Linked DNA regions of Coturnix japonica. The protein of the gene in region 1 interacts with the protein of each later gene in a biochemical or structural test. Links are inferred from orthologs where the notes say so. Each region holds a gene or a part of one and is shown on either strand. Other genes may lie near its edges. The genes, in order: MAPK1, GAB2 and RPTOR.

The links.
Region 2: of the proteins of MAPK1 (region 1) and GAB2, one has a biochemical effect on the other in vitro, tested with the Homo sapiens proteins (2 studies listed by BioGRID). The link is inferred for Coturnix japonica from reciprocal best matches to the Homo sapiens genes MAPK1 and GAB2.
Region 3: of the proteins of MAPK1 (region 1) and RPTOR, one has a biochemical effect on the other in vitro, tested with the Homo sapiens proteins (2 studies listed by BioGRID, with this or other methods). The link is inferred for Coturnix japonica from reciprocal best matches to the Homo sapiens genes MAPK1 and RPTOR.

The regions. Positions count from the first base shown.
Region 1 is NC_029530.1:386,060-389,807, reverse strand, and holds the start of MAPK1 (mitogen-activated protein kinase 1), read right to left. Parts: upstream 2,516-3,748; 5' UTR 2,292-2,515; coding exon 2,149-2,291; intron 1-2,148. UniProt on the Homo sapiens protein: Serine/threonine kinase which acts as an essential component of the MAP kinase signal transduction pathway. MAPK1/ERK2 and MAPK3/ERK1 are the 2 MAPKs which play an important role in the MAPK/ERK cascade.
Region 2 is NC_029516.1:172,541,836-172,545,483, reverse strand, and holds the end of GAB2 (GRB2-associated-binding protein 2), read right to left. Parts: intron 3,637-3,648; coding exon 3,493-3,636; 3' UTR 607-3,492; downstream 1-606. UniProt on the Homo sapiens protein: Adapter protein which acts downstream of several membrane receptors including cytokine, antigen, hormone, cell matrix and growth factor receptors to regulate multiple signaling pathways.
Region 3 is NC_029533.1:5,000,662-5,004,309, reverse strand, and holds part of RPTOR (regulatory-associated protein of mTOR), read right to left. Parts: intron 2,454-3,648; coding exon 2,349-2,453; intron 1-2,348. UniProt on the Homo sapiens protein: Component of the mechanistic target of rapamycin complex 1 (mTORC1), an evolutionarily conserved central nutrient sensor that stimulates anabolic reactions and macromolecule biosynthesis to promote cellular biomass generation and growth.

The DNA.
Region 1 (3,748 bases):
CGATGTGGAAACATAACACTTGTGAAAAATAAGCGAGTGAGGGATTCCACTAAGAGTTAAGCCACCCATTTTGCATATAGCAAGCCTTACAGCACAATGCATTTAGAAATAACCAGCACCTTCTGTCTCATACACATCAGCTGACTGCCTAAAACAAAGCCATTAACGCTTGCCTTGCTGTCCTTTCTTAAGAGTACAAACCTAAATGGCTTTTCAATAGCAGGAGCTGTCTCCACCTGCACCCTGTGGCTTTGCCCTCTGCCACCCCAGCCCGGAAGGGAGATGCTCTGCAGATCTGCACTGCGTTACAGTCAAAGCAAGACCCGGGACACGCAGTACGAATCTGCATAAGCTCTACCTGCACTGCTCAGTAAGCACTGTTACTTAACCATAGTAGTCGGTGTGCTGCGCTGCAAGGCATGACAGTTGCTATGGCATTCAGCTGGAACATGTGCATCCAGCACCTCCTTTGTCAAACACGCATAAACTGAGACTTTGTTCCCTGGCATTTCACACCCAAGGCAGAAGATCAATAATTACAGTGCAATGTATCACGTTCAGGATTTCACACCAACAGCTTTAGAGAAGAAAACAAAGGAGCCAAATGAATATCTCAACTAAACTGGAGATTCAGAATTTTTTGTTAAGAAATACAGATAGCATTTGAAGCAGAATATCATTTAATATGGCAAGTTTCCAAACAGACGATAATATTCCACAGTTTCAGAGAGGAAACCCTTCCATAACAGAATGGAGTGACACACCGTGTGCAGGGGAAGAGAAGGACCCCGTTTCCCTGTCTGCTCCCAATCACGGTGACGCCAAAAAAGGGCATCAGCTGCCACCGCACTGCGCCGTGCACAAACATCTCAGCGTGAGCAGCCGGCTGCGGCACCACCTCGGTACCGCACGGCACGGCGCTGCTCACAGCTCCTGCCTGGATCGCTCTGCGGGCACCAAGCTCTGCTGGGGCTGCGAGCTGCCACCCGGCTCCGCTGATAAAGGCACACAATAACAACACCTGGAACACGAGCTCTGGACGGGCCGTTGTTGTGACTTCCAGCACTAAACCAATAACAAGGTTATTTTTACACCATCAACGGGAGCTTTTGTTTTTTTTGGTTTATGTGCTGGAGCTTCTTCCCACAACACAAAAGCAAAGGCCGCAGCTTTAAAGTTCCTGGCAGATGTTTGTCTGCCTCCCCAGCAGCTCAGGAGCGGCTCCAGCTCCCACCAACACAGCTCGGCCTCACCGTGACGGAGCAGCACATCCCCACAGCTGCGAGAGGAAACCTGCAGATCCACAGCGTGCAGCTGAAGGCAGCAAGGCAGCTCTGCTGAGCGATACACTGCGGTTTACAAAGCACGAACCGACAGAGAGAGAAAGCAAAGCTGCTACACAACCATAGCTGCGAGTGTCACACAGCACCTCCGGTCACACAACACACCGGGAAGCGCCGCGATGGGCCCGTCAACGAGGAGCTGCGTTTCCCATCCACAGCCGCCCATGCAGAGCAGGTGCCCCGAGCCGAGCACGGCCGGCCCAGCCCGGAGCTCAGCGGCAGCACCGCGGCTCGGCCCGGCACGTCGGGGCCGCTGCTACAACGCCAAAATCTCGCGATCGTTGTCCCGCATTTCGCGGTTGGCGCTCGGAGCTCGGACCGGTCGGCGCAGAACGCGCACACACGGCCCGGCCGCCGCCTGCCAGCCGGGCAGGGCCGAGCGGAGCCACCCGGCCGCAGCCGCAGCGGGAGGCCCGGGCAGCAGCAGCAGCAGCAGCAGCAGCAGCCAGGTGAGCGCCGCACAAAGGGACAGCGGGGCCCAGGGCACAGCGGGGCAGGGCAGGGCCCAGGGCAGGGCAAGCGGCGGCCGCCCGGCCTTCACCTTCACCTGCCCCGCCCCGAGGCCGCGCGGGCCGCTCCCGGCCGCACTCACACAGCGCCCCGAGCCGTACTCACCACCCCATGCCGTACTCAGCACACTGTGCCGTACTCACCACCCCGTGCCGTACTCAGCACCCCATGCCGTACTCACCACCCCATGCCGTACTCACCACACCATGCCGTACTCACCACCCCATGCCGTACTCACCACCCCGTGCCGTACTCACCACACCATGCCGTACTCACCACACCATGCCGTACTCACCACACCATGCCGTACGCCCCCTCTCCGATGTACGAGAGGTTGGTGTATCGCGGCCCCACGTCGAACACTTGGCCCCGCACCATCTCCGGGCCCCCGGTGCCGGTAGAGCCGCCCGCGGCCGCGGCCCCCGCCACCGCCGCCATGTTGTCCGTGCCGGGAACCGCGGCGACTGCGTGCGGGGAGGGGAGGGAGGAGAAAGGAGGGGACGGGAAGGAGGGAGCGAGGAGGAAGGAGGCGGCTCCGCCACACCGCGCTGAGAAGCACCGGCCGGAGAACGGGCCGCGGAGAACGGAACGAACCGACCCGCCGAGCAACCACCGCCACCAGAGCGGGGACGGGACGGGACGGGAGGGGGCGGGGGGCGGGGCGAGACCGGGGGGGCCTCGGACTGCGGTAACCGCAACCGACGGGGAGGGGGCGCGGCGCGCGGGTCACGTGGGCGGCGGGTCACGTGGTGGGCGCGGCCGCTCCGAGCGCCGCCATTAGAGGAGTCAGGTGATGGCGGGAGGAAATGGAGACCGGGATGGGGGGGAACGGGACGGGACGGGACGGGACGAGCACGGCGGGTACGAGCACCGTGCGGGGACGAGCTCCGTGCGCGTCGCTCTGGGCCGGACACGCAGCCGTTCCCGCGGCTCCGTGTCCGGCGCTACGTGCGCGTTCCCGCGCCCACACGGTGCTGTCACACACGGTGCTGTCACACACGGTGCTGTCACACGCAGCCGGGCCGGGCCGTCTGTCTGAGCTGACATTAAAGCATCAGTGACAGAAGGAATGGGAAGGTGTCTCAAGCAGGTCATTGGTTTGATGGCTGAAACACGGCGTTATGTTGAGGGGATGCTGATACCACGAAATGACGGCGGGTAATGACGAGTGGAGAGAAGAAAATGAACAGCATCATTGGGCTTAGAAAAAGCACAAACAGCTGCCCCACAGTGCTGCTCTTGGGGATTTCGTTTTCTCTGCTAAAACTCAAACTGAACAGTGATGCAGGAAACTTAAAGGTAGTTTATAGAAACAAGTAAAGGAAACTTAAAGGTAACAAGTAAAAGAAACAAGGGGCCTGGGAGAAGCAGGGAGAGTGCTGTGCTCTCAGTGCTGTGCTCAGTGCTGTGCTCTCAGTGCTGTGCTCAGTGCTGTGCTCTCAGTGCTGTGCTCTCAGTGCTGTGCTCAGTGCTGTGCTCTCAGTGCTGTGCTCTGTGCTGTGTTCTCTGTGCTGTGCTCTCAGTGCTGTGCTCAGTGCTGTGCTCTCAGTGCTGTGCTCAGTGCTGTGCTCTCAGTGCTGTGCTCAGTGCTGTGCTCCCAGTGCCCCGTCGTCCAAACCAAATGCAGACATCCAGTACAGAAAGCAATTTTCCAAGTGTTATTTAAGGAGACTTCAAGCCTCTGCCTGGAGGAGAAGAAAGAGAAGTAAGACATGTAAGGCATTCTATAAAGATGTATTTTAACTTCTAAGGCAGTCAGCAACCATGGTGATGAATGTGACACAAACTGAAATTGCTCGGATATGAGCTCTGATCCACTGGGAGCCATCCTAAGAGAGTCATAAAGAGCATCAGATGCTAATGACTTCTAATCAGAACCTACCTGGGCCTGATTG
Region 2 (3,648 bases), on another chromosome or scaffold:
GAGTATCCAAGTATAGAGTGGATGTGATAAACTCAGTGCCTTCGGGACAAAGTTCTTGGCAGTCCGTGTAATTAAGCCAGCTGCTTTTCAATACAGTTTAAGACTAAATACTACACAAACATTAATCATCAGGGACTGCTGTAATCAGCTCAACAACAGGCGGGAATGGCGATTTCCACTGCAGCAATTGATTACAGAGGGGCTGGTACAGCCACGTCTATATGGATGGAGTCTACCTGTGAACAAATATCATCACTGTGGGATGTGGAGAAAAAGGACTGTTTTCTCCAGTAGTGTTTAGTACTGATTATGCTTTCCTAATCTTAACACCTTGGATTAAACATGGAAGTGGGCACTAGATGCACCAACTGTATCCAACCCTGGTTTGGTTCTCAAACAATGGCACCATGGCTGAGCTCCCCTGTGGGAATACAAGAAAAGCTGTTCAGAGCAGCAGCTGTGGAGCAAGATAAACAGCATGAGAACCAAGGACACCTCTGCAAGGAGAAGAAGAGTCTCACAGCTCTGATTGGATACGTGCCTGCATGGACAGTTGAAAAGTGTTTTGAAGAATGCTTTGTTGACATGTAAAGGTGGTTGGGAAAGTTGTAAGGGCGGACGGGAAAGTTAGAAAATAACAACTTGTAAAGGTATATAAGGGATGTGAGAACTTGTAATAAACGATTTGGATCATTCACATCTGAGTCTGTGCCTCAAACGCTGCACTCCCCATCTCCCAGCCTCACATGAGGTAGAAGACACATTTCTGACCGTGCTCCAAACAACTGGATATATATCTAATGCACTTGGCCAGAAAAGTGAAGAAAATTACAATTACAACTTGATTTTTTCATGCTTTTGGTGTGGCTCAAGCTTTCTTTGGCCTGAAGCTGGCTCAGTTTCACCTCAAGCATAATTGCACTGCGAGAGACCCCAAGCAACATGAAGGGCTATTTCTGAAGTTTCTGCTGCCATCCACCCAGAGAAGGCTGCATTTTAGGAGGCAAACAGCATGATTTTGGCAGGGAAATGCGTTCAGTGTACATCATAATCCCTCCTCCCCAACCTGATTTTCCTTTGTATAGAGCAGGTTGGGGGACAAAATAGGAAAGCCAAGTTCTTTGCCTTTCCACAGGGACTGTGCAGAGCTCACTTCCAGCCAGGTCAATGCACACCAGATCCATGGGACTGGCTTTTCCTTCGTGTTTCAGGCACCCATGGGATGCCAAGGCCAGAAGATCTCTCCACATCCTCTTAATGAGCTCACTGAGCTTCATGGGAGCCTTTACAGTGACTTCAGTGGGCTCTGGACCAGACCCAATGTTTTGTCTCCCCTGAGAAGTGGTGATGAAAGGGGCTATAGAAAGATGAAGCACTGCACTCTGCTCTTCATTTCATTATCTCACCATGCAAGCGTTCAAGTCCACAATGAGAAGCACAGGCCCTGGTCTTCACAAAGCATCTGGCTGTGCTAAATCTTCCCCTTTGGGACTTCTCTCATCTCTCTCCTAGATGATGATTATTATTTTTACCATAAGCATGAGGATATTTGCTCCATTATTCTTGTAAAAGCCCAACACTGCAATGTCTTAAAAGGGTCATCAGAGCTTTTCCCTTAAGATCGTCCCATTTCATGGCAGGGCAGAGGAAAACACAAACGTGTGTTGGAAACTGAGGACTTATTTTATGAGGCAGATCCTAGCCTCTAAGGGTCTGGCATCCTGTACCCATGTGAGATGCATCTGACCCTTTCCAAACTCAGGCCAAGATTAAACAACTGTGTTAACACTTAAGCATCAATACTTAATACAAACGATTGCTTTTCTTGGTGGTGGTTGTGGGAAGTAGAGCTCCTGGTGCTGGGAGGGGTCCATCTTGAAGAAAGAATAACTCAAGCTGTTTAGCAAATGTTATTACCTAATCCTTCTAACGTGCCTTTTGTTTAGCTCTCGATATGCAGTCAGTCTGTTTATCTGTGTCAGCGCTTGCTGTCTGGCAATCAGGCAGCTCCATGGCAATCATTAGTTCTTCCTGTTTTCATGAGATCATGAGTAATTATCTTTGCAATAAGCTGCCTCTTCCTTCTCTACTCTCCATGTGCGGCAGCTGCTTGGGGAACAATCCCAAAGCCTCCATGTGTCAAAGATGCAGGCAGTGGAACAGCAGCTTCCCATCCATTATCAGAACCTGGGGTCGTGACCATCACAAAGTCCCATCTGTATCAAAGAGGTATCACCAAAGATGAGGAACAATATTTAGACCAATCCTTTGCTTCCAGCATGAACCAGCTCTATGCTACAATACATTTAACACTGAAATACCCTGTCCTGCTTCTTCTGGCCAGCTCCTTTCCAAGCCTAGGGCTTCACCACTGACAAACATTTCAGTTATTCCACTCCTTTCACCCCAGATAAAGCCCACAGAAGCCCCTCACCCAAGTCCAACTTCTGAGGTACAACATCTGCCTTCTCCTGGTCCCTACATCTCCTCTTGCCTCCCACTTATCACTCAACCTCACATCAACCCAGGTACACAGGCGCCCCACAGCCCTTCTGAATGCCTCATACAGATAGCCAAGGGTAGGACTCATCCTCTCTGGGCTTATTTTTGTGCCACAAAAGGTAGGTTTTGGTTCCTAGGGCCAGATTCACAGGCAATTGGCTTCAGAGAGGCTGAAATTCTGCCATCCAAAGCCAGCATCTCCAACCCAATGACTCTGAGAGTCAACCATAAAAGACACTCCATCACACCTGGGTGTTCCTGCATGCATGCAAGTGTCTGAGTACGTGCTGGTGTATGTATGTACGGTGGGGTAAGTCCTGGACTGCAAAGCCAGCTCAACAAGGCAGTCTGGAAGCTCTTCGAGCTCATCATGGTTACAAATCACTACCAGAAACACAGAGGCTGTCCCACAGTGAGAAAAACTATCAGAAGTTTTGAACACATCACTATTTACAATAGATGGGATGATGAAAATAAAGTCAAAGAGGAATGGTCTTTGCTCAGGTTTGGGATTGAGTGGATGCTGAGAAGAAGGCAACCATAAGGAGAAGAGAATTGGTGGTGGGAAATGATGTCCTAGAAGAGATGCTGCCAAACCTAAGTGGCACAGTTTATGGGCATGGTATGGAAGAAGGCAGGGAAGGATGGTATTAGCATATACAAGGTGGCTTTAATAACTGTAAGCAACAAATGTGTAAGGTGGAACCTGGTATTGCTACATCAAAGTTCCTGGATGGTGCATTCAGCAGCTAAAGCACAAACCCAGCCAACAAATACAGTTGACCTTTATCACTGGCAAACAGTATCTGCCAAGTCTTCCTCTGCAATTAAGTTCCTTTTGTCTTAAAAGAAAATGATAATAAAGAACCCTTCCCCTCCACACAGACAGCAGTTTTAGAGAAATCCAGTCCAAATGGAGCTGGAAGTCTGGTAGGGCCCCAAGCTGGGAGAACCCCTGGGACATTTGCCTGTTAGGTGTCTGCCCTGCCGCTATTGCTTGGTGCTCTTGGTGGCTTCTGAGGACTGCCGCACATCAGTCCACTCCTGCATGGTGCTCTGCAGCGCCTGTGTCTTCTCCTTGTCCACTTGCACATAGTCAACCTTCTCATCTGAGGCAGCTGATGAGGTGGAGGGCTGTGGGGAGGA
Region 3 (3,648 bases), on another chromosome or scaffold:
TGTATCATCCCCCATCACAGCCTCTGAGCATCTGTTATTGTCAATATCCCATTCCTTTGACAAGCCAGTGATGCCTTCAAGCTTGCAAAGGATGTATTTAGGTACCGTGTATTCCTCCTTCCTTTTATAAGAGGGAAAGCTGCCTACAAAAGTCAGTATTCTGCTTGCAAGAAGACTGTTAAATTCAGAGAGGAGTCTGACATTGGGGAAAAGGATGGGAGTGGAAAGAAGGAAATCAATAGTGGGAGCACACAAACCCCAGCAAAACTCCTGAGCTCTGCAGCTTCAAAGATGCATCTTCAGTTTTATGAGCCAGCGCTGGACCACAACTCGAGTCTTGGCAGCAAAAGATAACTGCTCAATAGAGCGTCTCATTTCCAAGGGGACTTGATCCACATAGCTCTTTTGAACTGAGTACAGTTATTCCTCTCTGCACAAATATCTCCCCTTTTCTTCTTCTGAACCTAGTTCTACTGCTCCAAAGGTGAAAGACAAGGGAAACAGGGCCCAGACTTCCTAAGGCCTTACTGGAAAGAAAAAGGTAACACCATCTCAAAAGAACAGATTCAAGTTTGGGCACACTTGTTTTGGCAAATGTAAACCCTCAACTCTTAGAGCTAAATCAGCTCTAGCTCAGCTCTTAACCTATTCTGCAATGTCAAACATCGATGCTAACAACCCTTTCTTCTACATTAAAGCCTTGTAGAGAAGAAGGTAAAGTCAGCAAATGCTATGCCCTTATATAAGGTACACGTAGAAAGCAAGGTAGGAAAATGGAGTTAGCCTGAAGGAGTTCAGTCTACAGCTGTCAGCATCTTCCCTGAACACGACTGATGATGCAGCAAGAAGACGATGTAAGAGCAGTGCAGGGGAAATCCCAGACATCAGCTGTTCAGCTGAGTCCATCACCAAGGAAGCAAAATTCAGAGCCCAGAGATGGTAAATGTTAATCAACATCCTTCACAAAAACTGGCGTTGGCAAGGAAGGCACGTGGACCAACTGAATGACGCTACAAAGGGCAACTTGAGATGACTGCTGGATACTTTCCTCTCTGCCTACAGACAAACACGTGCCCTGCATTACCACTGTTTTCATCCTGCTTTTATTGACGTCTCTGCAAAGAGCAAGTTTGGACCATGGCAATTTTCTCAGTATGCTGCAGACATCCAGCAGCTTCTCATCAGCTTTGCACACATACTGCAGTGAGGCACGGAGCCTAACGTTACCTCAAATGCAGTTCCTCATTCCTAAAGCACCAGAGACGAAACAGGAGGTATTAAGGAAAACAGCAGATATGAGCTCAACAAGGCAGCACTGGTAAAATCCAATGAATAGCTAAAAGAGCTGTGTCAGACTCCCGTGATGAGCCACAAGCTCCGAAATGAGAACTGTCAGATTTTAAGGTCAGAATGAGTGATGGTGGTCATCTCATCTGACCTCCCCACACAGCACAAACCAGAGAATCTCACCCAGCAATTCCTGCATTAATCCCACAAGCACTGATTGAACCACAGTGCATCTAGAAACACCTGTAGCCTCGGTTAGAACTATTCAAGTGACAGAGAAACCCCATGAGAGCATTAGTACATTATCAGGTCTCAGAAGGACAAAATGTCCATCTCCTTTAATATCTTCAAACAGACTTCAGGATTACTTAAAACTGGCCTTCTGGTTTCATCCTGTGCACAGCAGGATGTCAGTGCTCCTTTGTACATCTTTTTCTAAGTTTTCTAGCATCCAAATCTGTTCAGTGTTTAACTGTGCTGCCCTGCAATGTGCCAGATCCGGACTGCATATTCTCATCACCTCCTGACACACAATGAGCAGTGGACAGTAAGTGCTGGAATTGAGCTAAATGAAGTCAGAGGTGCAACATGCAAAGCTGTGCGAAGGCTGAGCAGCCCATCAGAAGGAAAAGAGGCAGCATGTGAGCCACTATCCCACGCAGAAGGGAAGAACAAACTCCTGCCACAAGGAGCAGGGCAGTTCCATCGTTGTTCTACAGATCTCTCCTTAGGAACAGGCCAGAGGAACACCTGGCCAAGACAGCTGCTCTGAGGTTTGCAAAGGACAGAAACTTTGTGCCCTTCTGCACCCCACCAAGAGGCTCCTTTAGGTGTTCTTCAGCATTGGGGGAGCTTGTTGTGTTGGGCTTTTAGTCTTGTTGGTTTGTTTAACAAGAAACAAACACAAAACTTGGCCAAAGACCATTCCAGAAAGGTAGAGACTGTTAAACAAGGATGTTACTGGTGGCTGATGTTGAGAAACCCATTTTGCTGTATTCATCTTGAGAAAAAAACCATATCAACACACCTTTGACCTCCCAATCTCCAGGTAGGGGACCTACCTCGTGTAGTTGGCAGCATGTCTGACAGCCCCTGCCACGCCGTTACCATCTCCGGGTTCTTCTCCAGGTCTGCAAAGTTCTTCCATACTCTGATGGCACCATCATCTTGGGAAGCACAAAACAGAACACGATGCCATGTCATTGCCAATGCAACACTCATAGTTATGCATGATAAAAAGAGGAACAGCAACGCTGTGCTCATAACAAACTCCAGAACTGAGAGCCTTGCTGGAACATCATACTTTCTATTAGAGTTGTTTTTTCCTTTAATCTTATTCCATAAAATCTAATATATTGTTCCACTGGGAACTGCTCTAGAGGAACTTTTCTCCTTCCTACAAATAACACCTGACATCAGATGTCGTTCATCTCTTTGACCGATTTTCTCTAGGAACTGTCTCTGTCCTCCTTACTCCTGCACTGAGAACCACAAAAATACCCTCCTAAATACAAAATACAGCCCCACAAAGAAGCTGAATCGAAGCCCAGCCCATCAGCAGCAGATCTTTCAAGTACATCATGTATTTCTTTCAATTTGTTCCCCATCTGTGAAACTCCTGTGCTAAGAATCAATAAATTGAAAGAAAAATGTCCTAAAGGCCCTCTCAAATCCTCTTCCACCTCTCTTAATTATACCCAACCTGTACGTTTCAGCATGAAGTTTGAAAAGCTATTGAAAACACTTAGACTGACAGGTTTAGAATGGCTCCTTGGGAGCGAAGCATTTCTTACTCGCAGCTTTACAGACCAATGAATGAGAAAAAGCTCTTCATCCTTCCTTATGTGATGCAACAGGGCATTCTGGAGAACTGCTTCCCTGGCTGAGACACAGGGACTAGAGAGACTCACAATAAACTCAGAACTATTGGAGAAGTTCAGTGCCTAAAACAATCCCTGTCTGCTCTGGGCTTTAACCAGCAACCAAACCTGATTCCTCATACTTTGGCTGCAGCACGATTTTCCCTTCAGCTCTGAAAGCAGCTTTTGACCATCTAAGGATCACAATGTCCAAGGAATGGCACAGGAGGTTGCTGTGAACTTGCCATGCCAGGTTCTACCTCCAAACGCCGTAACAAACAAAGCTGTGCCTGGAAACAGTTTCAGCAAGTGTTTGATTTGTTTGCTATTTGAGAACACTGCAGCACTTACATAAGCTGTTCAGATATTTCAATGTTGCCAGAAGCAATTTTCAACTTCCATCCTGGAAGAGTTTCAACAGAGACCACAAGGGTGAGGGGAAGGGCCAGGCTGGGCCAAATACAGAGCAGGGAGAGTGAGGGGTACAGCACAGCCCCCATAG